4 linked regions of the Caenorhabditis elegans genome follow. The protein of the gene in region 3 purifies or fractionates together with the protein of the main gene of each other region. This does not show direct contact. Each region holds a gene or a part of one and is shown on either strand. Other genes may lie near its edges.

What was found.
Region 1: the proteins of ulp-3 (region 3) and gmps-1 purify together in Caenorhabditis elegans (affinity purification with mass spectrometry, with the first as the bait; one large-scale study listed by BioGRID). This does not show direct contact.
Region 2: the proteins of ulp-3 (region 3) and inx-14 purify together in Caenorhabditis elegans (affinity purification with mass spectrometry, with the first as the bait; one large-scale study listed by BioGRID). This does not show direct contact.
Region 4: the proteins of ulp-3 (region 3) and F42H10.6 purify together in Caenorhabditis elegans (affinity purification with mass spectrometry, with the first as the bait; one large-scale study listed by BioGRID). This does not show direct contact.

Annotation. Positions count from the first base shown.
Region 1 is NC_003280.10:10,861,477-10,872,647, reverse strand, and holds gmps-1 (putative GMP synthase [glutamine-hydrolyzing]), read left to right. Parts: upstream 1-3,933; 5' UTR 3,934-4,005; intron 4,006-4,205; 5' UTR 4,206-4,256; coding exon 4,257-4,310; intron 4,311-5,475; exon of another isoform or gene 5,476-5,532; intron 5,533-5,859; coding exon 5,860-5,920; intron 5,921-6,038; coding exon 6,039-6,557; intron 6,558-6,699; coding exon 6,700-7,059; intron 7,060-7,107; coding exon 7,108-7,697; intron 7,698-7,751; coding exon 7,752-8,300; intron 8,301-8,351; coding exon 8,352-8,456; 3' UTR 8,457-8,966; downstream 8,967-11,171. Other genes in the region: cyn-4 (Peptidyl-prolyl cis-trans isomerase 4), read left to right, coding at 42-120, 176-296, 343-1,129, 1,186-1,564, 1,614-1,819; cap-2 (F-actin-capping protein subunit beta), read right to left, coding at 2,233-2,334, 2,413-2,538, 2,584-2,688, 2,741-2,891, 2,944-3,057, 3,106-3,199, 3,249-3,366, 3,415-3,417.
Region 2 is NC_003279.8:7,348,233-7,355,989, forward strand, and holds inx-14 (Innexin-14), read right to left. Parts: upstream 3,951-7,757; 5' UTR 3,916-3,950; intron 3,855-3,915; 5' UTR 3,842-3,854; coding exon 3,655-3,841; intron 3,612-3,654; coding exon 3,402-3,611; intron 3,355-3,401; coding exon 3,071-3,354; intron 2,999-3,070; coding exon 2,747-2,998; intron 2,701-2,746; coding exon 2,419-2,700; intron 2,375-2,418; coding exon 2,323-2,374; intron 2,280-2,322; coding exon 2,242-2,279; 3' UTR 2,080-2,241; downstream 1-2,079. Other genes in the region: kbrl-1 (NF-kappa-B inhibitor-interacting Ras-like protein), read left to right, coding at 197-275, 929-1,170, 1,221-1,644, 1,744-1,820; spsp-1 (uncharacterized protein), read left to right, coding at 4,275-4,310, 4,376-4,865, 4,915-5,082, 5,128-5,304, 5,351-5,412; scav-6 (SCAVenger receptor (CD36 family) related), read left to right, coding at 6,262-6,387, 6,436-6,611, 6,662-6,812, 6,880-6,980, 7,026-7,095, 7,141-7,236, 7,306-7,453, 7,548-7,677 and 1 more. UniProt on the Caenorhabditis elegans protein: Structural component of the gap junctions.
Region 3 is NC_003282.8:1,960,573-1,967,392, reverse strand, and holds ulp-3 (Ubiquitin-like protease family profile domain-containing protein), read right to left. Parts: upstream 3,760-6,820; 5' UTR 3,730-3,759; coding exon 3,469-3,729; intron 3,056-3,468; coding exon 2,684-3,055; 3' UTR 2,669-2,683; downstream 1-2,668. Other genes in the region: shq-1 (Protein SHQ1 homolog), read right to left, coding at 957-1,356, 1,465-1,535, 1,770-1,912; tdpo-1 (putative tyrosyl-DNA phosphodiesterase), read right to left, coding at 4,270-4,452, 4,758-4,939, 5,299-5,750, 6,557-6,820.
Region 4 is NC_003281.10:8,475,980-8,482,831, forward strand, and holds F42H10.6 (Putative esterase F42H10.6), read right to left. Parts: upstream 3,473-6,852; 5' UTR 3,462-3,472; coding exon 3,417-3,461; intron 3,358-3,416; coding exon 3,274-3,357; intron 3,195-3,273; coding exon 3,120-3,194; intron 3,019-3,119; coding exon 2,909-3,018; intron 2,674-2,908; coding exon 2,478-2,673; 3' UTR 2,403-2,477; downstream 1-2,402. Other genes in the region: mig-39 (Zinc finger BED domain-containing protein 39), read left to right, coding at 1-442, 489-908, 1,485-1,775.

The sequences.
Region 1 (11,171 bases), on a different chromosome or scaffold from region 3:
ATAAATGTAACTAGTATTTATTTGTATTATTTTCAGATAAAATGGGAAAAAAGCAACATCAGAAAGATAAACTCTATCTGACCACTTCTGAATGGAAATCGATTGGAGGACATAAAGATGGTTTTTATTTAAACACGAGTTATAAATAAAAACAAGATTTAATTTCATATTTCAGATACTGGAACAAGACTCCAAAGAGCACAGTTCAAAAGGTTACCCATCAACCATTGCTCGCTGTCACTTCTACCGTTTGAAGACCCAGTTTGCGCAAGATCAGGAGAAATTTTCGATTTAACGTAAATTTCTGTTTATTTTTTTTACTTTTTATTAAAAAATTTTCAGTGCTATCGTTCCTTACTTGAAGAAGCATGGCAAAAACCCGTGTACAGGAAAACCGTTGGTTGCCAAGGATCTAATCCACTTGAAATTCGATAAAGGAGAAGATGGAAAGTTCCGATGCCCAGTTACATTCAGAACATTCACGGACCACAGTCATATTCTGGCCATCGCTACTTCCGGAAACGTCTATTCTCATGAAGCCGTGCAAGAATTGAATTTAAAAAGAAATCATCTCAAGGATCTTCTAACCGATGTTCCGTTCACAAGAGCTGATATAATTGATCTTCAAGACCCAAATCATTTGGAAAAATTCAATATGGAGCAGTTTCTACACGTGAAGCTTGATTTAAAGACGTCAGAAGAGATTAAAAAAGAAAAAGATGCAATGAAAGATCCAAAATTCTACATTCGACGAATGAATAATGCTTGCAAATCAGTTCTTGATCAATTGGATAAGGAATATGTCCCAAAGAAGAGCTCCACAGAAACTGATGAAACTGCCGATGAGATCAATGCAGCACATTATAGTCAAGGAAAAGTCGCAGCTGGATTCACATCCACTGTAATGGCTCCAGTTACAAGCAATAAAGCAGCTGTTTTGGATAATGATACAGTTCGGTACAGCCGAGTTAAGAAAAATGCTTTTGTGCGGCTTGTTACAAATTTTGGGCCATTGAATCTGGAATTATTCGCGCCGAAAGTTCCGAAGGCCTGTGAAAACTTCATCACACATTGTTCGAATGGATATTATAATAACACCAAATTTCATCGGTTAATTAAAAACTTTATGGTAAATTTATTATAAAAATAGTTAAAGTTATAACAAAAAATAATTAAAAATTTCAGCTGCAAGGAGGCGACCCAACTGGTACAGGACATGGTGGAGAATCAATTTGGGATAAGCCATTCTCAGATGAATTCATCTCCGGTTTCTCCCATGATGCTCGAGGTGTGCTCTCGATGGCTAATAAGGGCTCTAACACCAACGGATCACAATTCTTCATTACATTCCGGCCGTGCAAGTATTTGGACAGAAAGCACACAATTTTTGGGAGACTTGTTGGAGGACAGGATACACTAACGACGATTGAAAAGTTGGAAACTGAAGAGGGAACTGATGTTCCGATGGTTTCAGTTGTTATTATGAGAGCTGAAGTATTTGTGGATCCATTTGAAGAAGCTGAGAAAGAAGTTCAAGCTGAGAGAGCAGAGATTTTGAAGAAAAGTTTCTTAATTCTATTACTAATTTTAAAACTAATGATATCTATTTTCAGCTTCTAAGGACGCAGCTTCATTAGCAAATAAAAAAGCTAAAGAAACTGCAACAAAACCAGAAGCAGTTGGAACTGGAGTCGGCAAGTACATGAAGTCGGCCGCAGCTGTGAATAAACGACAAGGAAAAATGGAAGATGTACCCTTGGAGGCCGCAAAGAAAACTAAATTTGCAAGAGCAGGCCTTGGAGATTTCTCAAAGTGGTGATGAAGACCCTCTCTTTTTTTTTAAATTTAAGGAATAAAATACTTTCATCGAAAATATAATTGAAATGAAAAGTAATCTTAAAGAGGATAATTTACATTGCAAAATACAAAACAGTCGAACGAGCACCTAGAACGAAAATGGTCCAGGAAAAGCTCAAGCTCTTCTCGGAAGGAACATCAAGGCATTTTGGTAATAAATTGTGGAAAAGCCATAGCACATACACTTTGGAGCGAGGAGAAATTGTGGGAAAAGAGATTTTAATAATTCTAGAAAAAAAGTTTACACTCGAGAAAAGGCAATGAAAAAAGGTTTTAAAAGAAGAAACAAGCTGGTATTATGGTAGATAAATATACAAAACTCGCAAATAAAGCATTAAAATGAGAGATTTTGAGCTGCAAATGTAGATAGATCACTCAGTTTCCGCGGTTAGCCATGGCGTTGTTCAACTCGCGAACGATCTCATCTTGCTTCTCGAGCTCACTCTGCTTCTCTGTTGAACGGAGATCCGACATCACCTGGAAAATATTTTTTTCGAAAATTGTACTTTTTAAAAATGAAACTTTTTTCATATAATAAATTTGCATTTTGCTTACCTTCTTCGTCTTTCCAAAGTATATCTCATTGATCGTCAGACGCATTTTCGACTCCTGATCCTCAATCATTCGTCCCATATTAGCCAAGTGTGTGTTCTGATCGTTGATTGGTGCATCCATCTCATGCTATAATATTTCTTTTTAAATATATTCACAACTCGAAACCAAAACCTGTCTTGTAAGGGAGCCACCGAGGTTCATCACACCGCTGGAGCTTTTGTTTGTCTGCAGCCACAGCATGATAGTGGAGGTGAGCTTGTAGTGAGCCTGGCGTGCCTGGAAAATTATAAATTAAAAAAAAAAACTCTTCAACAGTTTTTGAACCAACTCTTTCCGTGATCTCAATAACGTGAATAGAATCCCAACATCCTGTTATATTTTTGGCTCCGTCTCCCTCTTTCTTGATGAGCACAATTCCGGCGAAACCTCCATTATCCAAGTCCCAGAAGTAAACTGATGAGACGCCTCCCTCGAAGTATCTGGAAATTATTATTATTTATGAGCAAATATATGATTTTTCTGTCAACTTACAAATCACGGTATGACTCAAAAGCGGCATTTGCCTCGATTTCCATTTTTCTGCGCTTTTCCGATGGCAATTGTCCATCCTCGAGTGGTGGATCATAGGTATTACTCCATGGTGATCTGAATTATCAGAAAAAATCGATAGATTTCAAATAAAATGACTCATACCTGTAGCTATCGCCATCTCGATTGTAGTCACAAAGCAAATACTGTTTGCCGGTCTCACGGTCCGCGGCGATTTTCAGCGGTTGATCGATAGTGCCTAAAACCATCAAGCGAATTTTTTTAAATTAGTTAAAAAGGAAACATACTGAGAAGATCATCAACAAGATGAGGGCACAGATCGATGAGGTCCGTCAAATTCTTGTCGCAGTGTTGTGGAGGAAGTCTTCGCATCAAGTCGAGGGCACAATCGAGCTGTTGTTCTCCCTGGTAAATATTTATTATAAATTGTTTTTAAAATATTTATTAAAATACCATTTTTGATAGTTTCGAGCCGGATGTGGGTGTGCTCCCTGAAACAATAAACTTTTATGTCAGATTTTAAGTCGTTACAACCTATTAAAAACATAAAAAGACTCTAAACGATTGGGTAATGATTTTTTAGTTCACAAATAAGATTAAATTTCGCAAAAATATATTTTAAAAGCCATTAGAAAGCAGGAAAGTTGCGAAACGGAGCGACCACTTCATTGATTTTACACTCCGTTTCTCTCACTCTCTCGTCCCTCCACCGTACCCATAGTCACTCTCGTCGGCAAATCGCGGCGAGACCCGCGAGCTTTTGGCGTTTCGCCAGAGTTCTTCAAATTTTTGTTTTTTTCTTCGAGCTTTTAAATTTAAGTTTTTTCCGTCAATTTTTATGTTAATAAACCGAAAAAATTAATTTTAAATTAATTGACATGAAATTTTCATCGCAAGTTTATCCGTGTTCTGTACATTCTCATCGCTTCATCTCCGAGAAAACACCGAATCCACTAAATTTTGTTATTTCAGTAATTGCAGCCAAAACGAGTCAAAATTGGAGCGCGTCAGAGTAAACGTCACTGCCGCAACCTTCCATCTGAAGTGAGTATTTAAATGTGAAAATTTTGAAAAACTGGGTGAAAATTCGCGCACATTTCTGTAAATTGGCTCCCGATTTGGTTTTCAACGTTAAAAAACGAAAAAAAGCATTTTCAACGTTTAAACGTGCGTTTTAAGGAGGTTTTCATTATAAATTGCCAAAAAATTCCACTTTCCATTGACTTCAAATCATTATAACCTAGCTTCAGCGTGCAAAAAGAACAAAGGCCGTCTCGAAAGTCAGTGAGCATACTATGAAAAGATCGAGTTCAATGTTGGACATCAACGAGGACAGTCAACATTCCACGGTCAGAACTTGTACTTTTCTTTTGATCTTGCCGCTTTGCTAATGGATTTCTTTTTTGAATTTTCGTTGAATTTAATTATTTTATCGCTGCAAAGGGCTTTTACAATTTTCCCTGAAATCGTCACTATAAAAGAAAAGAAATAATTGCAATTTTATTGCATTCTCCGCAACTACATTCTGTTTTTTCCGACTCCAAATAGTTCAAAGTTCTCTAGAATCACAATATCTTCCTCTGAAGACAAAAGATCAGTTGTCACTAAAGCCACATGCCGACTTTTCTGTTCAAGGGGGGTTCCACCATATGTTTCGGCGCTCAAATTACATGTTTTTTCGCGAAAAAAAGCTAATTTTCCTGTAACCTGAAGGGTTTTCTTTTTAAATAAATAAAAATGTTCACGTTAATCCAGTGATATATCGAAACTAGGTGACCTAATTGACGTGGAGTTCAGATTATACCGGCTTTTCTAGAACTTTCTATCTGATTTTCAGGATTACTGCGCCGTTTCTTGATAGTTTTCGTCTAAAAACCGAGTATATTTTAATATTTGTTGGCAGTTTTTGTCTTATTTATCACAATTTTCAGTGAGAATTCCTTGGTTTTTCTCATGGGATAAGCGTTTTTCACTGGAAAATATATTTTCTTGGTAGAAAATTCTCCTCGACGAAATCGTAGTTATATTCTCCCAGCCGAACACTAAAATGCTGGAAAACTAGGAAACTAGGGTCTAGTTGAAAAATTTTGCAATTTTTCCAAGTACAGCAGCACTTTTTTAAAATATTATCTTTAATATGATTTTCCACCATTTCTCTCTCTCTCTCTCCTGACTTTTATCTTTTTCGTCATTATTTCTTTTTCTCTGTTACAGCACTGGTTCTGCTCTCTCCTTTCCTCTTGTCGTCATTCAAAAGGTTCCCTTTGGTTTTGTTTCTCTCTTTTTTTTTCAATCTCTACGTCTCACCACTCTCTCGCTCTCTCTCACATTGTTTGATTTTGATTTCAGTTTCTGTGCTGAGAGAACTTTTCAACTATCTCTTCTTTGTTTTTTGCTGTCATCTTCTTCCTACTCTTGAAGCCGCCCGATGCTCGGTTTTGAGCCACTCAAAGCATTGAGGAATACTGTTTTTATGAAATTATCACCTTTTATTGCATATTTTGGTTGATTTAGGCACATTTTAAGTCGGTAGGCGTCCAATTTTGATGCCTATCTACTTAAAATGTGCCTAAATCAATGAATTAATTAGAGATAAATGACCAAAAGATGCAATTCAGGATAATAATTTAGGAGAAGTTGGAGTAATTTTAGATTTTAGCAATGTTTGGCTACTTTTTTCGGACTTTTCAGGCCAGTTTTAGTCAAAAAGCTGCTCTTTCCAACTTATTTTGCACTCTATGCCCTGCGTCTCTCACTATCTCCTAACAGTTCAGCCATTTTCACTCTCATTTCATCTGCCTTGGCAGCTGCATGTCAGCAGGCTCCACGTTTAACAAGCTCTCAAATTTTGCTCTAAAAAGCCGAAAATACATACCATACAGAATTATAATATTTCAGAACAAAGCTCCACCACCGAAGAAGGCGCCAGAAGATCGATTTGATAGTGCCAATATGAACGGTAAGTAGATAATTTCAATGAAAATGTGATTTTAGAATAAAATAACTTTTTTTTTGTATTAGATTTTTGTATTCACTCACATTTTCATAATTAAGACAAAAACTAATATGTTGAAAAGCTTCAGGAAGTCACGTCACCCTTGTCGAGAATCTTCCAGTTGAGAAGGTTTCAAGTGGCGAACGCATTGCCATCCTCGACTTTGGAGCACAATATGGAAAAGTTATTGATCGACGTGTTCGCGAGCTTCTCGTACAATCAGAGATGTTTCCACTCAACACGACAGCTCGTACACTCATCGAGCTTGGCGGATTCAAGGGAATCATCATTTCTGGTGGTCCCAACTCGGTATTCGAACCAGAAGCCCCGTCAATCGATCCAGAAATCTTCACTTGTGGATTGCCAGTTCTTGGAATTTGTTACGGATTTCAGTTGATGAATAAGCTCAATGGAGGAACTGTAACAAGAGAGCATATCAGAGAAGACGGAGCATGTGAAATTCAAGTCGATACGAGCGTTCATTTGTTCAATGGACTTCACAAAACAGAAACTGTCTTGCTAACTCACGGAGACAGTGTATCAGAGGCTACGGTGGCTCCAGACTTCAAAGTTATGGCCAAAAGTGGCCATCATGTTGCTGGTGAGTTTATTGAAAATTTTATTCACATTTTTTTAAAACAAAAAAAAACAAAATTAAATAATAATTTTCTGATTTTAATATTTACCAATGCTTCTAACCCCTCATCAAATATTCGTACTTTCATCTCAAAACCTTTTTGCAGGAATTTGTAACGAGAACCGCAAGCTGTACGGTGTCCAGTTTCATCCAGAAGTAGATCTCACTACCAACGGCACGAAAATGTTCGAGAATTTCCTTTTCAAAGTTGTCGGATGCTGTGGAAATTTCACTATTCAAAACCGTGAGCAATCGTGTATTTCGGAGATCAATAGCATTGTCGGTGACAAGAAGGTACTCGTAATGGTGTCTGGAGGTGTCGACTCGGCTGTTTGTGCTGCGTTGCTCCGTCGTGCTCTTGGACCAAATCGGGTCACAGCAATTCATATTGACAATGGATTCATGCGTCATGAGGAGAGTGATGCTGTTGAGAAGAGTCTTGCGGCGCTTGATCTTCCGATTCACAGTGAGTTTAAAAAAATTTTTTTAATTCAAAAAAAAAAATTAATTTCAGGGTATAACTTCGGCACAACGTTCCGTTCCAGTACAGAACACTGCAAGGATGGAGAAGTTGCGTTGGATGAGTGTGATGATCCGGAGATGAAGAGAAAAATCATTGGAAATACATTTATTCGCGTAAAAGATGTGATTATGAAGGACTTGAATATCAATCATGATGAATATTTCCTTGCACAAGGAACTCTCCGTCCAGATTTAATTGAAAGTGCAAGTGCTCTTGCTTCGGGACACGCGGACACTATCAAAACTCATCACAATGACACATTTTTGGTGCGAGAACTGAGAAAACTCGGAAAAGTTGTGGAGCCGCTGAAAGATTTCCACAAAGATGAAGTCAGAGAGCTTGGAAAAGATCTTGGGTTGCCTGAAAGTATTGTGCAGAGACATCCATTCCCAGGACCTGGTCTTGCGATTCGCATTCTTTGTGCATCAGATAAGAGGCCGGAGTTGATGTTCAACGGTCCGATGTATAATGGAGATGTGCAAGGAAGAATTATCGATGTTACTGAGCAGTTTTTAAATTCTGCAATTAATCCAAGTCAAGGAATTTATGAACACCTGCAGTTCGAGCAGGCACGGAACAATGTGAGTTGTCACTATTGAAAACTATATCCAGAGTCTATTATTTCTGTTTTTCAGGTTCTACTATCACTGTCTGAAAGAGATCGCCAACTCGCCGAGCAACAAACCTTCCAAATCAGTGCTCACATTCTTCCAATCAAAACAGTCGGTGTTCAAGGAGATGCCAGATCCTATTCGTATGCAGTTGCACTGTCCACCGAGCAACGACCAATTCCATGGAAACTCCTGTTCGCGTATGCTTCAGTCATCCCGAAGCTGTTCCACGGAGTCAATCGAGTCGTCTACGCATTTGGATCAAAAATCGAGTTTTCGATCGAGGACCTGACGAGAACATATCTTGTACCACACATTGTCACTAAACTTCAAATGGCGGATCACATCGCCAATAATATTCTATTCGGACGTGTCGCTGCTTCGGATGGTACGCAGCTGCCAAATGTTGGGCACAAAATTCAACAGATGCCAGTCGTCCTTCTGCCTGTTGATTTTGATCGTGATAGAGATATGATTGGATCATACAGGCACTCGATTGTTCTTCGTCCGTTTGTCACATCGGACTTTATGACTGGTCAGGCTGCGATTCCAGGAGTTCACTTACCGGAAGAGGTTAGTTTTCGACAAACATTTGTTTTTTTTTCTAATCAATTTATATTTCAGACTCTTATTGAAATGGACAAGGCCATCAGAACCAATGTTCTTGGTATCTCTCGTGTTCTTCTGGACATGACCTGTAAGCCACCGGGCACCACCGAATGGGAATAAGCTTTTTCGGACTAAATCGTCATCACTGGCCTTTCTCTTATCATTTTATGGACTGATCTTCATCCGATGCGAAATAATAATTTTCTCAGGTGTCTTTATCATTTCCGCTTCCCTCCATTGTTCTCTTCCCAGTTTTACAGTTCAATTCTTTCTCTATTAGTTTTTATATCATTTTCATCTCTTAAAAGAAAGGTTTTTCAGGTAATTGTTAAATAGATTATTGTTGTATCATGTTGATTTTGATTCTTCGTTTTTTCTCATCCCGGGTGCACTTTTCCAACGTCCTCTGTTCCCTCCCCAATTTTTTTGCTCCGATTTTATGTGTTTTAAAGCGTTAAACGTCAGTTCCCAGTGCCGAGTTTTCAAAAGGTGTCCATCGGTTTTTTTTTTAAATTTTTTATCTAGTGCTCAACGATACCGATGAACATTTCCGAGCTTGGCGTGAATCCCGATAGATTTGATTGATATTCACGGTGCTGCTTTTCTTCTAAATATAAATGGTTCTTGTTGATTTGTTTTTTTGTTTGGAGAAACGACACAATATCATTAGGGCAAAGAAAATTGTCATAATAAGAGCAACAATCTTTGTATCTGGACCTTGTAAAAATATTTTAATTCTGAACTTATGCTTTTACAAGTAAAGTCAAATCTTTTCCAGCAATTTATCAATTTTTCGCGAAAAATAACTTTAAAAAATTACAGTAATCTCTCTTCTTCAATTAAAGGCGCATACCTTTAATTTGAAAATTGTATGAATCGTGCCGAGACCTTTGACCACACGTTGTGCACGATCCTTTAAATTTTAAATTTTTGCACAGGTTTCTGACCGATTTTCGTTCTGTTTTCGGCTTCTTTGTATTTTTTTATTGAAATTTTTCATTTATTTAGGTGAAATAGGTAAATACCAATAAATTTCCATTTTACTTTCTCCCGCCAAACTGAAATTATCAGCGAAAATTCAATTTTTTCCTCTCTTGTCTCTAAGGACATCTGAAGCTAGTCTTCCTTCTGCCAGCATTAGCACCGCGCCCTTCTCTTTCTCTAATCCTCTCCGAATTTCCACTCTCTCTCCGTCTATTCCTCGCCCCCAGCAGCCATTTTCATCATTTTCAGCTCCCAAGGTGACCCTTCCTTGTTGTTTTTTTTTTCGACTGACGCGGTTTATATTTCTGAATTTCTTCTGTCATCTCTCTTCGTCTCACTCGTTTTTTTTTGATTTCACTTTGGAAATGTTGATCGAAATGAGAGAGAGAGAAAGCGTGTTGGAAGGAGAGAGAGAGTGTGTATAGGAGACAAAGAGAGTCCCAGAACCCATCGGTGGTTCCCCCAACTATCCGTCTCGATCAATTACTCCCAGAGAGAGAGACCATGTTTCAAAATGTTTTTGCAACACTTTTTTGTTGAGAAGTGCACATTTTATCACAGCACAGGTTCTCAGTTATCACTTCTTTAGACTAAATTAATTTTTGTAAATTAGTTCCGTGTAAAAAAAATTAAAGAAATTTCGTAGCAAATCGGCTAATTCGAAAAAAAAGTAAATTAAAGAATTATTTTTATTATTTTTAAAAAACCCCTCCAATTCCACATGGTGACTATAATTTTATAATTTTCCTTCTTCTCTACTATAAAATAATTAATAACTAGAAACAAATAGCCTGGCTCAAAAAATGTTGCCTTCAAGTTGTGATCTTTGCATTTTCGAACGGATGTCAGTCGTCTCGGTAATAAACAAGAGACGCAGACATTGGACACACACGCGCCCGTTACAATTGACAAGATGAATTTCATAAGGAACCTTATTCCCCCTTAGTTTTTTTACTCCCGAGACACATTTTCATCAATCTGATTTGCTCTCGAGTACTTTTGATCTATAGTCAAGATATTGTTTGGCGCCGTCTCTCACGAACCAGCCAAACTGGTTTTCGCAGAATTTGAAACGAGAGCGCCGATTGCATTGATGCTGCTGCTGAAAAACCAGAGGAAGGTCATTTGAAACATTTGAAGCGACGGTGTTCACCGTTCCGTTTGCCGGCCTTTACCCAGAGAAATTATCGAAAATTGCCTCGTGCTGTTTCTTGAGTCATCTAATTCTCTTCTCGTATAATAGAATATTCTCGAAGTAAATTAAAAATTCTATTTAATTAACGTTTTAATTTTATCGCTAACCGATGATGCTAAATTTGATAAATTTTGTCAGACATAGTTTGTAGCTTTTCGCGGGAACATATTGTATGTTGTGCCCACTTCCACGTGGTAGCCACTTTTGGATAGGTTTGATGACGTTTCTATAGATAACCCTTGTCGCTTATCTCCACATAAAAGTGTACTTTCCTCCCAAATAGGGCAGTCTCGTAGATTTGTTTGACCTGCAGCTTTGGACAACGCTTTTTGATTGGTCGAATTCATTTTTCTCTGAAAAATAGTATTTAAAATTTGTTTTTCTGCAAAATAACGCTATTTCCCAGTTTGGCTAGGAAATACCACAAATAAATAAGTAGAGAGAAAAAATTCCGTAAAAAACTTTGCACGCGATTTCGCTTCAGAAAATCTGAAATAGTCTCAAACATAGAAATATAAAAATATTAAACAAAAAAATTCAAGAAATAATGAAAAATCTAGCTTTTAAAAATGTGATCTTTAAATTTTGGCTAACGCCCACTTTCTAACCAATCAGCATCTTCGAACTCCGCCCACTTCATCTGATTGGTTCGAAAG
Region 2 (7,757 bases), on a different chromosome or scaffold from region 3:
AAATATCGGCTATAAAGAGGATGGGAATCAAGTTTTTGGAAAAAAAAGAAACATTTTCCTTATTTCTTGTAAAATCAATCCCCTCCGCGATTGTCTAAAATGCATCGAAATTTGCACAAAAAGGTGATTTTCAATATAAAGACAAAAATTATAGTATTTCAATTTTGGAATCGTTGAAATTTAATTAAATTTGCAGGCCACAAATCGTCGATTCTCGTTAGCCGCGACCTTCTTTGACGCCGCCAAAGCAGATAGAAAAACTTCACTTTGTGTTGGTAGGTTATTAGAATTTCGCCCAGTTTTATTTCAAAAACTAAAAAGACAAAAGTGCAAGATAAAATCTAAAAATTAAGAGAAAACTTCATTACAGTGAGAACCACTAACTGAAAAAAGACAGATTTTTCTATCCAAAAAAAAATGAGAAAGTCTCTTAATTTTCCCCATTTGCCACTTTATGACCTAAACAGTGCCACGTCATCGTCTAAATCAAACAGCGTCCTCTGTGCTTAACTCTTATCACTTTTTTATGGCATGTGCACTCCTCCCTCTATGCACCACTTAGTTTCAAGCATTTTTCTTACCATATTATCATTCTTTTCCCTAGCTATTCTTATTGTTTTTGGATCAAGTCATGTCCGACTCTAAACTAAGAAACACGGTTTCTATGAAATTCAAAAACAAACCCAAAAAATATCTGAAAGCGGCTGCTCCGATATCACAATCAATGGCTGCTCTCGACTTGGAAACCAATGTGAATTGGAGAAGAGATATGAGTATTGATGAAGAAAATGGTGCTTTTTTAAAAAAATATTTCCTGAAAAATGAATTAATCTATGTTTCTGCCATACTTTACAGATTTTTAAAATTCAAAACATAATAGGCATCAATCTACCAAAAATTCATTAAATGATTAACAAGAAACTTTCAGAAAAAGATTATCTGAATCATCAAGGCCGTTACCGTACAGTCGCTGATCCTGACTTGGAGCGTCCATTATTTGTGGAACGATCGGAAGAAAAAGGTGTTCGAACCTTCCGAAGCGATTCAATCAAACCGGCTAGAAGCCGGCGAATGGGGAGAGCAATGCGGGTGGTTGTAGTTGGAGGAAAAAAAGTCGGAAAGACAGCTATTCTGCGGCAAGTCGCATGTGTTGAGGATGTTACGAATAAGGTTCGAAGATTAAAAATAATTATTTCGGTTTCTAAATTTCTAATTTTCAGCCATATGAACCAACGATCGAAGACACATATCAAGTTCTTTTGGAAGAACCGGACAAAGCTCGAGAGATTCTTATATTGCACGATACGGCAGGAGTTTCAAATTACGGACCGATTGAACTGAAGAAGGCATATGTACAAGCTGCAGACGCATTTGTTCTTGTGTATTCATCTGCTGATTACGAATCGTTTAACAGAGTTGATTTGCTGAAAAAATGGATAGACAGACAATTTGGAAAAGATAAGAAAGAAGTTCCAATCGTAGTCCTTGCCAATATGCGAGATCGACCGGCGACAGTTGACAGTGCTTTTGCACATAGTTGGGCTGCACGAGAAAAAGTTAAACTATTCGAGGTTACTGCAAAGGACCGGCAGAGCCTAGTCGATTTCATTCATTATGTAGGACATCGACATTTCCATCCAACCAGTAAGTTTTGAAAAATACTTTACTTTGCAATCTACCCAAAAAGCTATAACTGTTTTTTTTATTTTTGAAAGATTAAAAAAATTATCGTTTCTTTTTCAGAAGAATCGAAATTCTCGCTCTCAAAGAAGCTGAAATCAGAAAAATCTTCAAATCCAGCAATCTTGATGGACTTTTGACCCCAAACTTCTTATTCTTCTAATATTCTTTGTGATAACCAAAAACTGTGATTTCACTTTTCTCTGGCCATAATTATCAAGCTCCTTCTCTGTGCCTTCATCCTCCCATTTCTTATTTGGTTTTCTTTGCATAATTTTTCATCACATTATAGGCACCCAAAATATAATTTAATCAGTATTCTCGGTCAGCAAACTTTTTCTTATGTACGTCTAATTATGCTTCTTTTTGTGCATTATTCACCAAAACAGAAAAACTTTTCAAAATCAGGTTGCAGGTTCATTTTTTGTATATGATAATAATAAAATGAATGAATAAAACAGTTATAATAATAACTTTACCTGAGAAAGAAGAGGGAGCAAACAATAGATAAACATGTTAGACAGAATACTTTGTGAAATTATGGTGTACTGTTGAAAAGACTTAAATCTTCTGCGGTGCAGCGAATCCGTAATTGGTTTCTGGAATAAATATATGTATAAGGGAGACATTTGAAAAACTAACCTGAATAAGCCAAATCTCTTGGACTTGAAGTGAGAGTTGGAGCGGTCTGCAACTAGTGGGATATTAGAATAAGTACAATATTTATCAAAAACCAACCGGTTCAAGGCCAGCGTCTGAGCAATATTTCTTGAAAAGAGCACCGATGACTTCTTCAGTTTTCAAAAATCCATTCGTATCCATCATGAAATAAATTAAAAGAATTCCGTCGGCACACAGGTACTTGTGAACAAAGTTGTAGCGGTGATCATGAATATTACTGTCGAATGGCTCTCGTTCCAATGATTTTTTGATCAATTTGTAGATCATCACCTCGTTGAGCTTCTTACTTTTGATACGAAGAATCCACTTAACAGTTCCAATTACCGAGAGCGCGGTGAGCTGAAAATATTCTTGAAAATCGTGGCCAATAGGAGAAAAAACGTACCACAAGAAGCCAAAAGTAAAGCCCAATGAAAATTTTCTCGTTAATCACATTCATCGGAATAATGCATTGAGCTTTATGATTCACAAAGTTGCTAACTGATTCTTGCAACTGATATTCACATCCCACAAGAATTGGGAAGTACTGGAAACGATTGTAACTGCCGTCTGTGAGAATTGCCGCGAATCTTTGTTTGTCGGAAAACGAGGAGAACTCGGGAGCACGTGGAGTTGGGTGAATGAATTTGCCGAGAAGCTGAAAATAGAAAAAAGACATACTTTTATTATCAGTGTCATTCAATTTATATCAAAAACTTGCTCAACTCACATCAAAACCCCAAGTCCACGAATCAACGTCCAAGAATTTGCAAACCAAGTTCACTTGAATAATCACATTAGTTATGAAAAATAACTTTGTGAGACTGTACAAGACACTGGGAAAAGCTGAGTTAAATGTGATCCACGATAGATATCCCATTTTGTGGGCACGACGGAACTTGAAGTGATCATGCATATAATTCACAATTCGATCCACTTTTTCCTTCGTCTTTTCAAACGTTTTCTCGCTGTTGATTTTTCCAGAGTAATCCACAATGAAAGCCATGTCAATGTCTGAAAGATTAAAAATTTATATTACTCTACAGAAGAATAACTCGTACAAATAAGCTTTTGCATGTATGCCCAGCACCAGAAAGGAAGAAGAAAGCAGCATACTTGAAATGCAAAGAAGAAAGGAACCCATTGATAATAGTTGACAGATGCATCTTCAGTGTAACTTCCAAATTCAGACGTTCCATTGCTCACGTCGTATCGGAAAGTTCCATAGAAAAGACAGAAATTGTGAATGTAGTCGCGCCACGATTTCAGATCTGAAAATTGAGATTAATTTATGAAAATTAACGCTATTGAAACCATCATGTTGCTTCGGGAGCATGCAATCGATTGGATTTCCGAAATGTTGTTTAGCACCAGTGAGTAGAACAAAGAATCCGAGAAGATAAACTGTGAAAAGGTGAAGTCGATCGTAAAATTCGTAGAGCTTCGCCGCTTTGAACGGTTTGGTGATGAAATCGCCGATAATCGGGATCTCCCAAATCATTTTGCGAATAGAACTGAAATACACAGAAAATTAATTATTTGAAACTATTAAAACCTAACAAATATAATGCTTACGATAGGCGAAAATCCTCGAAAAAATGAGTTGCTGGTGAGTAAAGTGCGCAAAATTAGAAACTCCCGGCTACCGTACCCTGATATATTTAAAGGCGCGTGTTTTTAATCCGGCTATAGGTCCGGCGCGCTACTAAAGTTTTCAGGCCTGGAAAATCTTTCAGAGTTCTCGAATTGGAATAAAAATCAAATACTTGAAAAAAAAGTTATTTAGAAATAATATTTTCGTGACCTTGGCCTTTGAAATTATCTTTTTGGAATATCGATGAGGAAAACGAATCGAAAAACAAAAGAAAATCAGTACTCGAAACTAAAACTTTTTGCAAGCTCGAATATTTCGATTCAATAGACAACAACCATCGATGGCCAAGTCTAACTCGAACAATAGCCACAATGAGGTAAGTAGTTTTTTCTGTCCGGGCATGAAACTTTCTAACAACTTTGAAAATTATAAATATTACAGGCAGATACTCTCTCATCACTTCTCTCTTCAGTTGGTAGTTCTTATGATGGAGAATCTGATTCTACATTCGTGTCAACTGGAACTACTCCATCATCAAGCCGTCGTTCTCGTCTTGATTCGTTCCTTTCAACTACTAGTTCCAGTAAATCAAGACCAAGAATTAAAAGCAAGCTTCCTCGTAGCTCGTCGTCTGGATTCTCGGGAACAGGATCTGAAAGATCTATTTCAAGCAAAAGATCGAAAATTGGAAACACTTCTGGGAACCGTAACAAGATTTCGCAAAGTGCTAGAAGAAGACTTTTGCAAGCTGAAATTGAGAGTCGACGCAATAGATCCAACAAATCACCAGGTTCCAGTCGTAAAAGCATTCTGAAGAAATCTCCGATGAAAAAAAGAAGATCTCTTTCGAGAAAATCTTTACCAAAGAAGGAGCATATTCCTCCAGTTCAAAAGTTTGCAATTATCAAGAATCCAGCTGCTCGTAATCAAGGTGAGCCCTGAGATTGTTTTGAAAGTTCACATAATTGATCATATTTCAGTTCGTGGATTTGTTGCTGAATACGCACAAGATCCAGAATTTGAAGCTTTTGAGCTTTTGGTTGACGGAATTCCATTTGTTGCTCTCTCTCTGATGAATGCTCATCCAGATCTTCGTGGAAGATTCAAACCTGTTCCACCACCAACACCGATGAAGAAGCATACTCCAGGTAGTTTTATCTTGAATCACCTTTAACTCATTTACTCATTTCAAGGTATCAATAGCCCACGAAAACGTCCTTTGCGTCGTGAATCTATTTCTTCCGTTAACTCGAAAAGTGTTCGTTTCACTGATGAGGGATCTTCTTTTTCGAAAAGAGCTAGAAAATCTTCATCCGGAGATGTCGATTCATCGATTCGTGAGCTTGGAGAGACAGTATCGGATGCCATGAGTACGATTTTTGAGTCATTGTAATAAAAAACTATTTTTTTTTGCAGTTGACACTGGTCGCCAGTACAATGATTTGTGGAAGGATCGTGCACATAGTGTTGAAAAATGATTGATCTCTGTAATGATATCACCTGATTGATTTTCTAGAGAATAAAATGATGATTTGAATATGTTTAAGTAATTTGAGATTAATTCTTTATTTGGTCCCATTGGCCGTTGACGTTCTAAAAAATCGATTCCTTTCGCCCTGAAGACGCTTTTAAAAATATGAACGATAGAACCGCTAGAGCTAGTTGATAATTTTAAAACTAAGTTTTCAAATTTAGAGAGGTAACAGCTTATAATTTTAATTTTTTTAAAACAAATAACAATGAATTACAGCAAGTAGGAAATGTCCGAAATTATTTCAATGGTGTGAACAGTTTTTCAAAACATCTGAAGATTTTGTACACTTTTAATAGTTCAGTAAAATTGGGAAATCAACTCAAAACTTTGATTGATAGTTAGAACAATTTTCAAATTTCAAACTGTTTTGTTTAACCATTTAAACATTTTTACTACATCTAAAGTTTATACTGACAAACTCCCCCTGACGCCCACTCTTCGCCTCGACCGTGTAGAATTTCTATTGTAGCTACGATAGGTTCTTAACCATCAATTTTTATGAATCATTAAAAAAAAAAATAAATCTCCACGAATCTCTGGAGTATAGTTCGACCCATACGATCAGTGCAAACTCTTTGAGCATTCACCTGAAGCTGCATCTAACGTGTTTTCTGCCATTGATAACCAGGGCATTTCAATGTACGACAATATAGTTAGCTGCTGATAATAAAGAATTCGTCTGATAAGCCACGTAAACCATATAGACAGCATATTTACATGCTTTCTGACTCTGTTTTAAATCGATTTTTGATAATTTCAATTGGTTTATATGTTTCTTTTTTTTTTTCAGAAAATGGGTTTTCGGATACGGATAAATAAACTAGATGTATTCTTAGTTGTTATTGCAATTGTGTTTATTGTGTTTGGAATTGTTACTTGGGCGGCATTCTCTTCAATTTACAGTACTCTGGTCATAAAGGTATTCCCGTGAAAAGTGAAGTTAATTCCTAAACTTGCATGATATCAGAACCTACAACTAACTGAAAATTCTGATACCAGTCTAGGATATTCTGCATTTCAATATACAAGTCCTCAAGTGGATAATATAATGAAATTCTACTTTTTTAATGTTACAAATCCAGACGAAGTGAAATACTATTCTGCTGCACCAAATTTGGTAGAAATTGGTCCATTTTCTGTAATGTAAGTTGAATTTTCCTCATAGATATGTTAATTAAATTCCGAATTTGAAGGGAAAGTGAGCAGAAAAAATATCTGGAATTCAGTGATGATAAATCACAAATGTTTTATCAAAATTACAAAAAGTATATTTTATCAAAAGATTATTCGTGTGAAGATTGTGACTGGGACAGAAATATTGTTTTTCCGAATCCACCAGGATTGGTGAGTTTTGATAGATTAGCGGGCGAGTGCACGTGGCGCCTCAACTTGATTTCATGTCTGTTTTCAGGGGGCTGTTGCTTCAATGTTAGATCCACAATTCCAAATCACAAAAACGGGAAGAACAATTATTGCAGTGGCTTTAACAATTCTTGGTGAATATCCATTTGTGTAAGTTTTTCACCGAATTTAACTTATTTTAAAATAAGTTTGCAGTTCTCATAAAGTTCGTGAAGTTCTGTTTGACGGTTACGAGGATGCTTTACTGTCCGCTGCTCATTCAGGGGTAACTTTTTAACTTAAAAAAAGTAGCTGTAAATCTAATTTTTAGTTCGTGACAGTTTTATCAGGAATATTCAAAGGAGATGGTGGAAGTATCGTTCCAATTCCGATTCCAGCTATGCCGAAATTTGGATATTTTCAAGGGGTTTGTAGATTCTTTTGAAAGCTAATTTCTGATCGGGAACTATATTTCGAATTGAGAATATATCTTCAGTATAACAACTCAAGAGATGAGGAATATTGGATTGAAACGGGAAAGAAAGATATAAACCAAATAGGAAATGTTCAGCGATGGGCTGGAATTACAGAACTTCCTGGGGAATGGTGGACTACTCCAAAGGCTAGAAGTATTCGTGGAAGTGGTGAGTTGACCATTATCTCGCATTGAATTGAATTGAATTTATTGAACTTTAATGCAATTTATTTTAAACACATTCAAAAGGAAAGTATTTTAAGATTCTGGAAGTTTCACTCAAATGCACTTGGACGAGTCATCAACTGCTGATATGTTCTTTTCATTCATGTGCCGATCATTCACAAAAACCTTTTACCAGAGGGAAACGATTGAGTCAATTCCAACAATTGGGTGTGTTAGTTGTCACAAAACAAATAAATAATCCTCTTTTCACAGTTATCATATTGGGTACGACGAATGGGACACCACAT
Region 3 (6,820 bases):
GTTAGTTTTTGTTATTTTTTAGCCAAAAATTCAAATTTAGCGCTGACTAAATGTTGCAAGCGCGCCCTATTAAGAAATTTGCCGATTTTCGTTATTTTATGGCCAAAAATTCAAATTTCGCGCCGTTCAGATGTTGCAAGCGTGCCCTATTGAGAAATTAGTTAGTTTTTGTTATTTTATAGCCAAAAATTCAAATTTAGCGCTGACTAAATGTTGCAAGCGCGCCCTATTGAGAAATTTGCCGATTTTCGTTATTTTATGGCCAAAAATTCAAATTTCGCGCCGTTCAGATGTTGCAAGCGTGCCCTATTGAGAAATTAGTTAGTTTTTGTTATTTTATAGCCAAAAATTCAAATTTAGCGCTGACTAAATGTTGCAAGCGCGCCCTATTGAGAAATTTGCCGATTTTCGTTATTTTATGGCCAAAAATTCAAATTTCGCGCCGTTCAGATGTTGCAAGCGTGCCCTATTGAGAAATTAGTTAGTTTTTGTTATTTTATAGCCAAAAATTCAAATTTAGCGCTGACTAAATGTTGCAAGCGCGCCCTATTGAGAAATTTGCCGATTTTCGTTATTTTATGGCCAAAAACTCAAATTTCGCGCCGTTCAGATGTTGCAAGCGTGCCCTATTGAGAAATTAGTTAGTTTTTGTTATTTTATAGCCAAAAATTCAAATTTAGCGCTGACTAAATGTTGCAAGCGCGCCCTATTGAGAAATTTGCCGATTTTCGTTATTTTATGGCCAAAAATTCAAATTTCGCGCCGTTCGGATGTTGCAAGCGCGCGCTATTGAGAAATTTGCGAGTTTTCGAGATTTCAAATTTAAAAAATGAACAATTTTGCGTTGCAACTGTGCTCTACTGACACAAAAATGTCGGAAAATTTTATTTTTTCACGCATTTACTCAATGGAGCGCAATTTCTGAGTGATTTTTGGCGGGAAATTCGATTTCTTACAAATATCTGCCTTCATCAAAGTTTTCCCAATCGAATTCCATCAATTTGTCGGCTCTTTTCTCAATTTCCACATTTTCGGGCTCCAAAATATCCACAATTTTGCCGATTTCATCTCTGAGCCTCTCAATAACTCCAAACTTGCTCCAACCGAAACCATAGCCGAATTTTTCGATTTTTCCATCACTTTTCGGCTCTTCGGGCTCTGCTGCTGGCTGCTGTTCCACTAGAAATTCCGAGCCATCACCTTCATCATCGTCTTCAGAATCGTCCATTTCCTCGACAAGTTGATTTCCGTGTGGTTGGTGGTGTGTTGTACTAGGCGTTAGCAGCTCCGTAATCATGTCCAAATTCGAGAAATGCTCTTTTTTGTGCATTTTCGGGACTTTTATGTGAAATTCGCCTGAAAATTCGAATTTCGCGCCGATGCAAATGCACTCCATTGAGAAATTAGGATTTTACGGCATTTTTTGCGTATTTCTCAACGGAGCGCGTTTGCGTCGTGCCGTACCTTCGTCGGATTTCCACTCGACGCTTCCATTTCCGCTACCGTACTCCTCGACCATTTGTTTAAAGTGTAATCTGCAAAAAAACACACACATTTTTGTCAGTGGAGCGCGTTTGCAGGCTGGAAATTCGCGAAATTTGGAGAATTTCTCAATAGAGCATGCATGCAGCATGCGATCGGCGCGATGATTTGAATTTTTGGCTGTGAAATCACGAAAATCGGTACTTTTCTCAGTAGGGCGCGTTTGCTGCACAGCATGCGATCAGCGGGGGGAATTTGAATTTTTCAGTAAAAAAAACCGTTTTTACCTCAAAAAATAAGGCGGACACGTGAACACGAACATATAATCGCCGTGATCATAGTCCAGCTCGGCGATATTTCCGTGCGGAGCACGAATACGGATGAGCAGCGCGTCGTCGTCTTGAGTGATCCAGAATACAGGTGTGAGCATCTGAAAAATCCGGAAAATTTCGCGGAAAATCGATAATCGGGCCGAAAATGTCGGGGAAATCGATTTTTTTTTGGTGAAAATCGATAATTTTCAAAAATGCCGAAATTTTCAGAAAAATCGATACGGTAAATATCCGATTTCAATGAAAAAATCGATAAATTGGCTGGAACATAAAAATTGAATTTTTCTTTGAAAATCGATGCTTTAAAGAAATTTTCGGAAAAAATCGATAATTTTCCCGGAAATTTTTGAAAAATCGATTTTTTCCGAAATTTTCTGAAAAATCACCGATTTTTTTTCGAAATTTCGTGGAAATTTTCTGATGATGCGTCCATAGTCTGCGGAAAACGGGAAATTCCCGCGTGCGGAAGCGTCCATAGTCTGCGGAAAAAAACAAGGAGTTTCTCGCTTTGTTATTGGTCAATTTCAAAATAGTGGGCGTGTTCAACCAATTAGAGGCTGTAAAATTTTAAGCTGAGCAATGGGAAAACAAGAAACAACAGCTGATTGGTTGGCCACGCCTACTTTTTTGAATTTTGAGGAAAAAAAAGCGAGGAACTCCGGTTTTTCCGCAGACTATGGACGCTTCCGCACGCGGGAAATTCCCGTTTTCCGCAGACTATGGACGCACCATGAACAATGATTGTTTTCGAAAAATCAATTTTTTCAAAAACTGAATTATCGATTTTTCGGTAAATGAAAAATATTAGAAAAAGGTCACAAAAACCTTCAAACCCATCGGAAAAAAAAATCAAAATCAATAAAAAACATTTATTTCGCTTCAAAATTAACAATCAAATCCCGCCAAAAACCGCGTGTTTTATCGATTTTCTCCAATTTTCCAATCGCGTCCGCCGATTTTTGCTCGGCGAGCACCGCCAGGTACTGTGCCACGTGGAGTCCACAATCGGATGCATTTTTCTGCTGAAGACATAGCTCCGGCTCCAAATTCCGCTGGCTTTGGCGTTGTCGGACGAGTTTTCGCGATTTTTGCATCAAATTTTCGGCAATTTTCAAGTTATGGCCGCGCGCGCTGTCGAAGTGACGGAATTTATCGATTTTTCGGTCGAAAATCAATAGGGACCAGTGACTGCCACCATTGACCCGTGTCACATCTTGATTATCGTTTACGATGAAGGCGATCTGCAAAAAAAAACGATTGTTATCATTGGGGCGCGATTGCAGCATTCAAAAATTCGAATTTCGCGTGTAGAATGTGCGCTCTAATGAGAAAATTGCGAAATATAGTCAAATTGTATGTTTTTTTGCAATTTGGGCTCAAATTTTCAATTTTTACGTTGAAATTTAAAAATTCCGCTCTGACCGCATGTAGAAAACGCGCTCTATTGAGAATTTCACAGAAAAATTGAAATTTCGGGATTTCTGCAAGACAATTGGGTTAAATTTAGCAATTTTTTTTCGAAATGTCACATTTTACATCGAAAAACAAAAAAAAATAATGGAATTTTCACGATTTTCACCCGAAATTTTTAAATTTAGCGGCACTGCAAGTGCGCCCCAATGATAATTCTTTTGAATTTCGTGATTTTCCGTACCAAATCCTTCGAGTTCACGTCTAGACATCCGAAATACATGTCAACTTCCTCGTCACACGTCGAATGCCGTATCATTTCGGTTTGCGGGGGCGTGAAAATTTGAATTTCCGCCGCCGCCGAATTGTGTTGCTCTAAAAATTCTGCGCAAAACGTGAGAAGTTTATCGTTGAACCAGCAGCCCGTGTGCTCCAAAATAGTGACGTCATCGGCGGTAAGGACGACCGATTCGTAGGATAGGCGGAAATCCGGGGGAACTGACATTATTCAGGGCGGCGGGAATTTGAAAAATCTGAAAAAAAAACACGTTGAAAGTGCGCTCCATTGAGAAATTCAAAAATTTTCGTGATTTTTTGAAGAAAGCTTTCAAATTTTGTTTAGATCAAAAGTTACAAGTACGCTCTACCGAAAAAATTGCGAAAATTATCGAAAATCAATAAATTTCGTGACAATGTCAGTGGAGCGCGATTGCACGCCAATAAGAATTTTTAATTTGAAAATTTGCGCGTTACAAGTGCGCTCCATTGAGAAAATTCCCAATTTTTATGATGTAAGTGCGCCTAAATTTCGTGGTGTTCTCAATGTAGCGCGGTTGCAGCTCGCTCGCCGCGAATTTAAAATTTGAGTATAATAATAGGAAAAAGGGGATTTTTGACCTTTTAAACCGGAAAGAATTGAACAAAAATTAGAAAAAAGCGAGATTTTATTGTAAAGCGTTAGAAATTAATGAAATTCACAGGAAAATGAGATTATCAATTCAAAAAAACAAGCAATTTTTCACAGAAAATGAGCCCAAAATCAGGGTTAAGGCGGTGTCCAGATACATCCCAAAATGTCGGGCTTCTCGTGTTTTTTGTCGGTCACAAATGGCTCATCGGTGGCCGAATACGGTACCAGTGGGTAGTCGAATGGAATATTGAAACGGCTTGGATCAGTGATAAGAACACCCATTTCCCATGAGCGGATCATTAGTTGCTCTACGTTTTTCTGCAAAAATAGAGGATTTTGGAATTTTTGGGCCTAAAAATTACAAAATTTGATGAGAAAATCAGATTTTCTAATTAAAAATTTCGCAATTCCCTCAAAATTGTTTGAAAATCTATAATATCGTCGAATTTCTATGGCAAAACGTAAATTCTCAAAATTTTTTAAATGAAAATTTAAATTTCAGGCGCGTTGCAAACGCGCTCTAATGAGAAAATCACGATTTATGGTTAAATCGGGCTAATTTTCATGAATTTTGAAGCTTTTTCTGAATTTTTCATTCCGAAATGTGCAAAAAATCGCAATACCGATTTATTGAACGACACTTCTCCCCACGCGGCTTTCGATAAATTGGCACTGGTCAGCAATTGCCAAATCGCCACTTTCTTGTCATATTTCACATAGGTCTTGCAGTGGGGCACTGCGTTCGTCCTTCGTTTCGCATTGGAGCGCCATTTGCACATGTTGCCTTGCAGCCATTTTTGACGAGCTGAAAATTTTGAATTTTTGCGAAAAATTTGAAGTTTTAGGGGGAAAAATGAAAATTTGGGCAGAGGTTCCCCCTACGCGTGACTAAATGTGAACTACTGATAGTCGCAGGTGTTAAGTATGTTATTTAGATAAGGAAATAACATAATTAACACTTAGATTATCACTAGAACACATTTGCCACCAAGTTTTTTAAAATTAAAATTATGTTTCTAAATTTGATTTTTTTAGACTAACAAAATATCGACCCATTGTTAGTTGTAAAATTAGTTAAAAATAGCATTTCCGATGAAAAAAAAAACCATTTTTCAACTAATTTCTCCAGAATTCTTCATTTTCCCAGCAGAAAAATCCCCCTACCATGCACACTATTGCGATACGGCACAGAACATCCACCCGCATAACCCTGACAACTCGTCCGAACATCCTCAACACTCGGAAACACTAAATACATTTTCGCGGGCTTTTGCTTCGGCGACGGATTTGCTCCTTCGAGGCTCTGCAGAAATTGCCCGCGAAACCAGTTGATTGGAGCAGATCCTAGTGAGCCAATTGAGCTGCATTGAGCCACAAATGTGCATCGTTCCGTGTGCTCGTAACTCGCATCAAATGGAAACTTTTCCGAAAGAATACGGAAAAGGCGTGGGTGTCCCGGACGTTGCGTGGGCGGATCGGTGTGATAACCGGGCGTTGAGAAGATGAGACGGTCGGAGATTTGAGAAAAATCAACTTTTTGGAGAAGCTGTTTCCATGTGTCCAGTTGGTTACGGTACATGCTCAGGTACTCGAGAAGGTCATCTTGGAAGTCGGATCTGGAAAAAATCACAGGTTTTTGAGTTGAAAATAAAAATTTGGCCAGAGGTTCCCCTTATACGTGACTAAATGTGAACTACTAATAGTCATAGGTTACTAAGCATGTTATTTAGATATGGAAATAACATATTTAACACCTAGATTATCATTAGAGCACACTTGCCACAAGAAAATTGAATGGTTGTTTTGAATGGTTTCAGTTAAATCTGGCATAATTGTTATGATTTATTTTTTTTTGTTGAAATTAGTCTAACAGTTTACATGATTTTTTTCCGGCAAATCGGAAAATTGCCGAAAATTAAAATTTCCGGTAAGCCGGCAATTTGCCGGAATTTCGAATTTCCGGCCAATCGACAATCCGGCAAATTCCCAAAAATGAAAATTTCCGGCAAAATGGCAAACCGGCAATTTGCCGGAATCGGGAATTTCCAGCAAATCGACAAACCGGCAACTTATCGGAATTGAAAATTTCCGACAAATTGGAAACCGGCAATTTGCCGAAAATCAAAATTTCCGGCAAACCGGCATTTTGCCGGAATCGGAAATTTCCAGCAAATCGACAAACCGGCACATTGCCGGAATCTAAAATTTCCGGCCAATAGGCAATTCGCCGAAAATCAAAGTTTCCGGCGAACCGGCACTTTGCCGGATTTGCCGAACGGCAGTTTTTATGTTTTTTTTAAGGAAAAACTGATTTTTTTCCAAGAAAAATCAGGAAAAACTCAAATTTGCATACTTCCATGTTTTGAAAGGGTAAAACATGGTAAAACGCCCATTAAAATCTCAATTTTTCGAAAATATTCACCTTGGCACCGTGCCAGACGCAATTTTAACTCCAAAATTATAATAAAACTGCTGCGTCTTGAATTCCCAGTCATCTGGTACCAAATTTGCCGTCGAAACGATCACATGGAACCGCCCGTCCTCGTCTTCCAGAATCGACATTTTCGTGTGATGGGTCCCGAACGGAATTGGCAGCGACGCGCCGACTACTGTAACCAGCTTCTGGTTTTTTGTGCATTTTAAGAGATCTGGAGCATCGGGGGCTCCGACTACAAGAGTTATCGGG
Region 4 (6,852 bases), on a different chromosome or scaffold from region 3:
TGGTCTGAACGAGCTCGCTGAGCCCGCCGAGCTTCCAAAACAAATGGATTCTTTCTCATCTCGTCTTGCTAATTGTTTTAAATCTTGGCTTGAAACATCTCCAACAGTTGAAGTTTTGAAGAAAAATGTATACGCGATGCTTGTGTCCTACCTGACAGTTCCAGCAGCTATTCAACTTGCAAGTCAAATGCTAAAGGCAAAGTTTGAGGTGCCACTCACTGAACCATTCCATGTGATTGTTGAGCATTTGGTAGCTCATCGGGATATTTATCAAATGAATATGGAAGGAATCACTTTGATTTCTGAACGTGAATGGAATAAAGTGACTGGAATCCATCATCTTATGAATATCTTCAAACCATTTATGACATATTCAACAGATATGACAACCGTTGATACTGTTATTCCAACAATTGTACAAATTCAAAATGTTTTGGAAAAGGTTTTGTTTGAAACTAGTAATAAAATCATTTTAATACATTTTGCAGGATATCTATCACTTGGGAGACATCGGATCTGATCTTCTAACTTCTTTGAAACAAACTGTCGCACCAATCATGAATCCTGAACACGAGAACTTTGATTCCACGTACATCCAAGCCACTGCTCTGAATCCTCAATTGGCTGTTACACTAACTTCTGATCAAATGACAACTGCGAAATCTCTCATTGAAACTGAAATTTCGAGGCGAACCAAGAAGATGAGAAAAGCTCAAAGTGATAAGAAATTGGCAATGGGTGTGGATTCACTATTGGCAAATGTTATGAGGAAAAATGATGGAGGATCTGATGGAGGATGTGAGACAGCATTGGCAATTTATGGAGATTTATTTCAGTCGATAACTGGAAACAGTTCTGAATCAAAGGAAAATATTGTGAATCAGTATTTTGATGAGATTTCTAGCACCGTAAGTTTTACTTTTCACTAATTTCATAGATATCATATTTTTCCAAATTGCACCCCGTTGTTTAACTTTGACAGCTTATATCTCAGTTGTTGCGTGTTCTATTCCAAAATTGTCAGCTAACAAAATAATTATTATTTAGTTATTTTTCTATTGTATTTTAGTTAATAATTTATTGATATCTTCAAAATGAACCGAGATATAATCTTTCGAAATAAAGTAATGAGGTGCAATACTACGGTAATTGACTAGTATGAAGAAGAATTATCAGTCGACTGAGTTTCTAGAAAAGTACAAGTTGTTTCAAAACTTAAAACAAATAAATTTAATTTTAAATAAACTTCTTTCCAACTCTTTACGTGACAATACGATATCTAGAAGATTAAATTTTAAACTGTCATGTTATCCTAGCACTATGCGATAATTGCTCTCTACCTAAAATCCGCTAAAAGAGTGGGATAATCTAGAAGATCATACGAGGGTGGTTGAAAATGAAAATGAAAGTAGTTTGTGCTAGCTGAAATCTGGAATTTTCTATTTTTATGTCTATGAAAAACAAATCAAAAATCAAAATTTCAGACTTCTGTGGAAAGCATGTTCATGCTTCGAACATTCGGCAATCCAATGCAAGCTCCACTCTCTTATTGGAAATCTTGCTCATCACGATGCTCGGAGCTCTCGGATCTTGCCACTGAACTTTTATCCATTCCAATCTTCACTCTTACCGCTGAACGCGTTTTAAGCTTTTCACCGGATTCGAGCTCTTTAAACACAAATTTGATTCTTACAAATTTAGACTCTACCGATCAGTTTGAGAAGCAAGTTTTACTCCGTTTCAATCGTCAGATTGTTTCGAAACTTTTTAATTAGATATTCAGTTTTTACATACTTTTCTGTCAGATAATACAGTATTTTCTCCTACTACGAGTCGTTTTATTCATTTTTAGCAGCTTCTTCCAACCCAACTCTCCTAGTCTCTTCTTTTCCCAGAACTTTCTATTTCTCAATGCCATTCATGCTCGTTGTTTCAAAACATTCACAAATTCCTGAAATTAATTGCTTTAAGACAAATTTGAATATTTCTTGCCCGCATACTCGGCAATCTCGCTCTATTGATGAGGTTTCGTAGAGCGTGTATACGTATGCATAATAATTCGAAATCTACATTATTTAAGACGCATTTCTAAATATAATTTATTATTGTATTTATTGATTTCCATCCAAAAAAATTAAACGGTGAATATTTTCTCTCTGTCCCATCTCTCGTTCCTTCAAATAAGAAACTCTTGAGCAAAACCAATGTGCAATTTTTAAACTTTTAAACTTCTTTCATTATTTTCTCCATTCCATGTCCGCTTTTCCTTGCACCAAGCATGTGATATTCCTTTTTTATTCTCGGCCCCCCAAATTCTCTACATTGTATTTTATTATTGTTCTCCCCCATTTTTTCTCGATATTTGCGTTTTCGGTGGCTTCTCACATTCTCCAAAAAAGTTTCAATAAAATATTTTTTATATCACAAATCGAACCCAAAAGAAACAATTATTATGCAAAAAGAAAGAACAAACATAATTAAAACTGCGTGCCATTTTCCACAGAAATTCCAGGCTGATTTGGAAGGAATGCTAGAGTATGTTTTCCCTTTGCCGACATTTTTCCATCCGATTTCCGCCGGAATTCACAATCGGTAAATGCCATTGTTCGTCCGACTTTCAATACGTGTGCAGTGATTTCCAGAACGTCTCCAACTTTGACTGGTAGAAGGTAGCTGAAAAAAGATTTTTTTAGAAAACAAACCACTTCTTTTGTTTCTTAAATATACCTAATTCAATTTTTGTGAGAAATTCAAAGAAACAATTGAAATATTTTGAATAGTTTTGAAATGGTGTGATGGCTCCACTTTTTTTTTTTTGATAGATGATGTCATTTTCAATTTACGCGAAAAAACATCAGACTTTACAATCTGATTTTTAAAATCATACTATTGTTAGAGCAAAGTTTACCTAACAGCCAGTTCAACAGAAGCCATTCCTTTATCTTTTACTGTGACTCCAACTGCCCGAGCGGTGATAACATCTGTCAGGGTAGCAGTTTGACCGCCGTGAAGTGTTCCCTGAAAAATTGCGATAATTTTTCGGAATATTCATTTTTCTTTAAATTTAATTTTACTGGTATTTTAAACAAGTTTTCATGAAATTTTAGGACTAAACGCACTTTTGAGTTCAAGTGTTGATGCTGCACCACCATTTCACATACCAGCTTGCTCTTCGTGACCTCCACCGGATAAACCTGAAATTATATTTTGAATTAATATATTTTGAATGAAAAAAAATTCCTAATCTTAAACTATTATCAAAAAAAAACTGACATCTTCAGCCACTCGATTGAAATTTGTGGAACCTTTCATTTTGTTGAAAACTCGAACTTGCTCCGCGAGCAGCTCTTCGCTTGTCTGAAATCTATTTTCAAATTAAATTATGTATCTTTTTTATTAATAAATATGTAACATACCGGTTCAATTACAGCGTCAGTAGAAGACTCGGAGTGGCCAACCATTTTTCAGGTGAGAAAATCTGCAAAATGACGAATTAATTTATATTATCAGGAGATTGTTATCAGTTTATCAGTGAAAGGAGCATTTCCGCATATTTGAAGAAAAGAAAACGTTTCAAAGTAAAAAGTACGAAGTATACTGGAATCGCAGCCCTCACAGCCGGAGCGGAATGATGAAATTAATTCACAAAAAAGAAACAAAAATGTTTGCGGTAGAGCGCATTTCAACAAGTTGTAGATGAAAATTTTGTGCATGTGCCTTTAAGTCTACAGTAACTCTACACATTTTTTAAACGGTCGAGAAAGCGCAAAAAACATAAAAACGTGTCAAGTTGAGGGGATATGTCAAGGTTATTCTCTAAAGACAATCCTCATCCGAAGAACAATCTGACCCGCAACGGGAAAAAAAGATGGCTACGAGAGATATCAGACACAGACACAACGACAACACGTGGAGTCAAAAAGTCCCATTTCGTTTTGATCTTCGAAAAATGCGGGAAAAGAGACGCATACATCTCTTCTCGTTTCGCATGGTTAAGAGCGTGCTGACGTCACAATTTTTCTGGAAAAATATTCCCGCATTTTTCGTAGATCAAACCGCAATGAGAACAGCCTGACACCACGTGCGACAAGGGTTTTAGGACATTGGCATTGCAAATAGTTTCTTCTTTATCTTAAACAAACAAAAAAATCAAAATATTTTCCAATTTGTGTTGGTTTTCATTCAAAGATTTGTATTTCTTCAAGCCACAGATAATAATTGTATTTTGTCAACATAAATGTGCCTTCTCATGCGGAAAGAATGTGGAGGGCGGATATTGAAATAGATTCGAATTGAACTGAACATGTTTTTCTCTATCCTTTTTCCTCTTTTTTCCTAGTCAAAGTTATTTTGTGCCTGTTAAATGTATAACATTGTATATCCGTAAAAACTCTTTTACCTGTAATGCACGATTTCTTGGTAATACAGTATACCTTACCAACTGACCAATGTTCTTTAAAATATAATTAGCATTGTTTTAAGTGTGAATCTCAGTGACTCATTTCATTTGCTCACACTGCACGTCAGCTGTCGTACTCGTTGCTCTTCTTTCCGGAAAATGAAATCGAAAAGGACACTATTTTTGCTCTTTTTACGTTTCAACTAACCCGCTTTTCTTTTGTCACTTTACTTTATTGGCAAATTATTGGCTTTCAAAAAACCGAGGTCTCGACACGACCCAATGTTTTAAAACGATTCTGTACCACCAATGAAGTGCGCATTGAAATAATGCTGTAGTTTTGAAATTCTTCGGAATCTCTCGTTTTTTTCACATTTTCTTCCACATTTCGCATAAGTAAAAACTACTGTACTTTTTGAATGCGCACACTCATTTTTGCGACCTCCTTTATAAATACAATTTTTGGTCGTCTCGAGACCAAATACCGTATTCTTTTGCAAAAAAAACGGAAATCTTCAGGTCTATAACAGTTGTGCCCACGAAAAATTTTCGAAGCATTTTTTCCAACTGATTGGTGGAGAATAATTTCAGAAAGTAAGCATAATTTTGTTTATAAACTTTTTTTTCGAAAAGACTACGTCTTCAATCTAGGCAACCCCTTCAAACTCAAAAGATGGAAAAAGGAAAAAATCCTTCAATTCAACTGAAAATCATTCGACTTTCAAAAGAAAAAAGTGTATTGGATATCTAGTGTTTATCTCAGTTTTTGCCCCGGACATTCCAGTAACAACAATACGGACATTAGTTCCGCCGCTCCGAATCATCATCATCATCATCACAATGGGAGTGTGAAACGGAACCTCCGGAGTCTACAAAGTCGTCTTCTTTGCCTGCTTCTTCTTTCTCTTCTCAATTTTCTTAGTTCTTCACTCCTCAGTATTACATTCTTTGCAGTGTTTACCAGTACGTTGTGGGTGGAGACGGGTATCACATTTCATTCAATCATAATTTCAATGTGTCCCTTTATTTCATCAAACAATCTCTTGTAGAATTACTATATATCCTGTTCACTACAAAATTGTCGCAATCAAAAATTTTTATGTGAGATATGAGAATTTAAAAATTAAAACTTCGAAACGTTATATTTCGGTTCATTTGAACGATACCGATGAACAATTAATTACAAAAATATTTTAAAAAAGTTGAAAAAATGTCTTCAATTGACAAGTTTTTCTTAAAACAAAAATATTATCCTAAATAATCTTGAGCTGACAAAATGTTCCGTTAAAATTGGAATCTTTTCAGGCAATTTAACTGGTGCACAATAGAATGAAACGGAAAGTACTTCCAGTCTGTTTTTAGAAAAAATATCTAAATTTCTCTATTACATTTCTAATTATCTAAAACTTTGTCCCAGTGTCCAGCAGATAATCCATCCTGGATTTTATTCCCTTTCCTCTCCATCTCACCAGCTTCTTCTTCTTGTGTTACAACGAGGAGTGACCAACAGAAGAGAATGGAAGACAACCTGCCCTCTTCCTTCATCTTCTACTGCCCCCGCAATCCTCTCTGTTTGTTTCTCAAGAAATTCTCACAATTCTTTAGCTGCTTGGACGTGATGAGGATAAATCAAATCTTCCGGTTCTCAATATTAATTTATTCCAATCAACATCACTTTTTAGAAATTCGATTCTCTCGCGTCTTTTTGAAGCCACAAAGTCGGATTTCCATTATAGAGGTGATCCGAAACCAAACGACTATTTTCAATAGGGTTTCACGTGCCTGCCTACTACCTGCCTACTGTCTCCTCAACATCTCGCTTTAATTAATTGAAAGATTCACCTGCCAAGGGTGCAGCATTGATTTTTTACAAAAACCGTAAGGAGAAACCCCTGAAAATTGTACAACCAAATACAAAACTTTCCAATTTTTCGGATTTCTAAAAATACCGAAAAACCGTAAGATTTGTGATAATAACTCCCGATACATTTTTTACATTCCTACGTTCCGCCTGCCTGCCTGCCGGCCTGCCTGCCTGCCTTCTGCCAATTTTCTGTTATTTTCTGAAACTGCTTGTTCCCATTTCAAACAATATATTTGTTTAAGTTTCTATCAAGGATTGCAAAAAACCAAAATCATGTGTTCTTGGGTAAATATGTCTCTTTTCTGGTGCCTAAGCCTGCGGTTTATTCAAATTGCCTAGAAAAATTTACAAACAATTTTAAACAAAACTTACAAAAGTTTTTCAACGTCGTTTTTTGCACATTTTTCGAATTCCGTTCAGCTTCAATACATTTTTTTTCCAAATTGGGTTTCAATATAAAAAAAAAACGTTTGAAATTTCATACAAAATGATGATGCATCATCAACATGTTGTATGCACGGCTTCTTCCAAGTGTTCACTTTTCACTTTACACCGCTTCCCCATCTTCTCTTCGCCGCCGGCTCCGAGG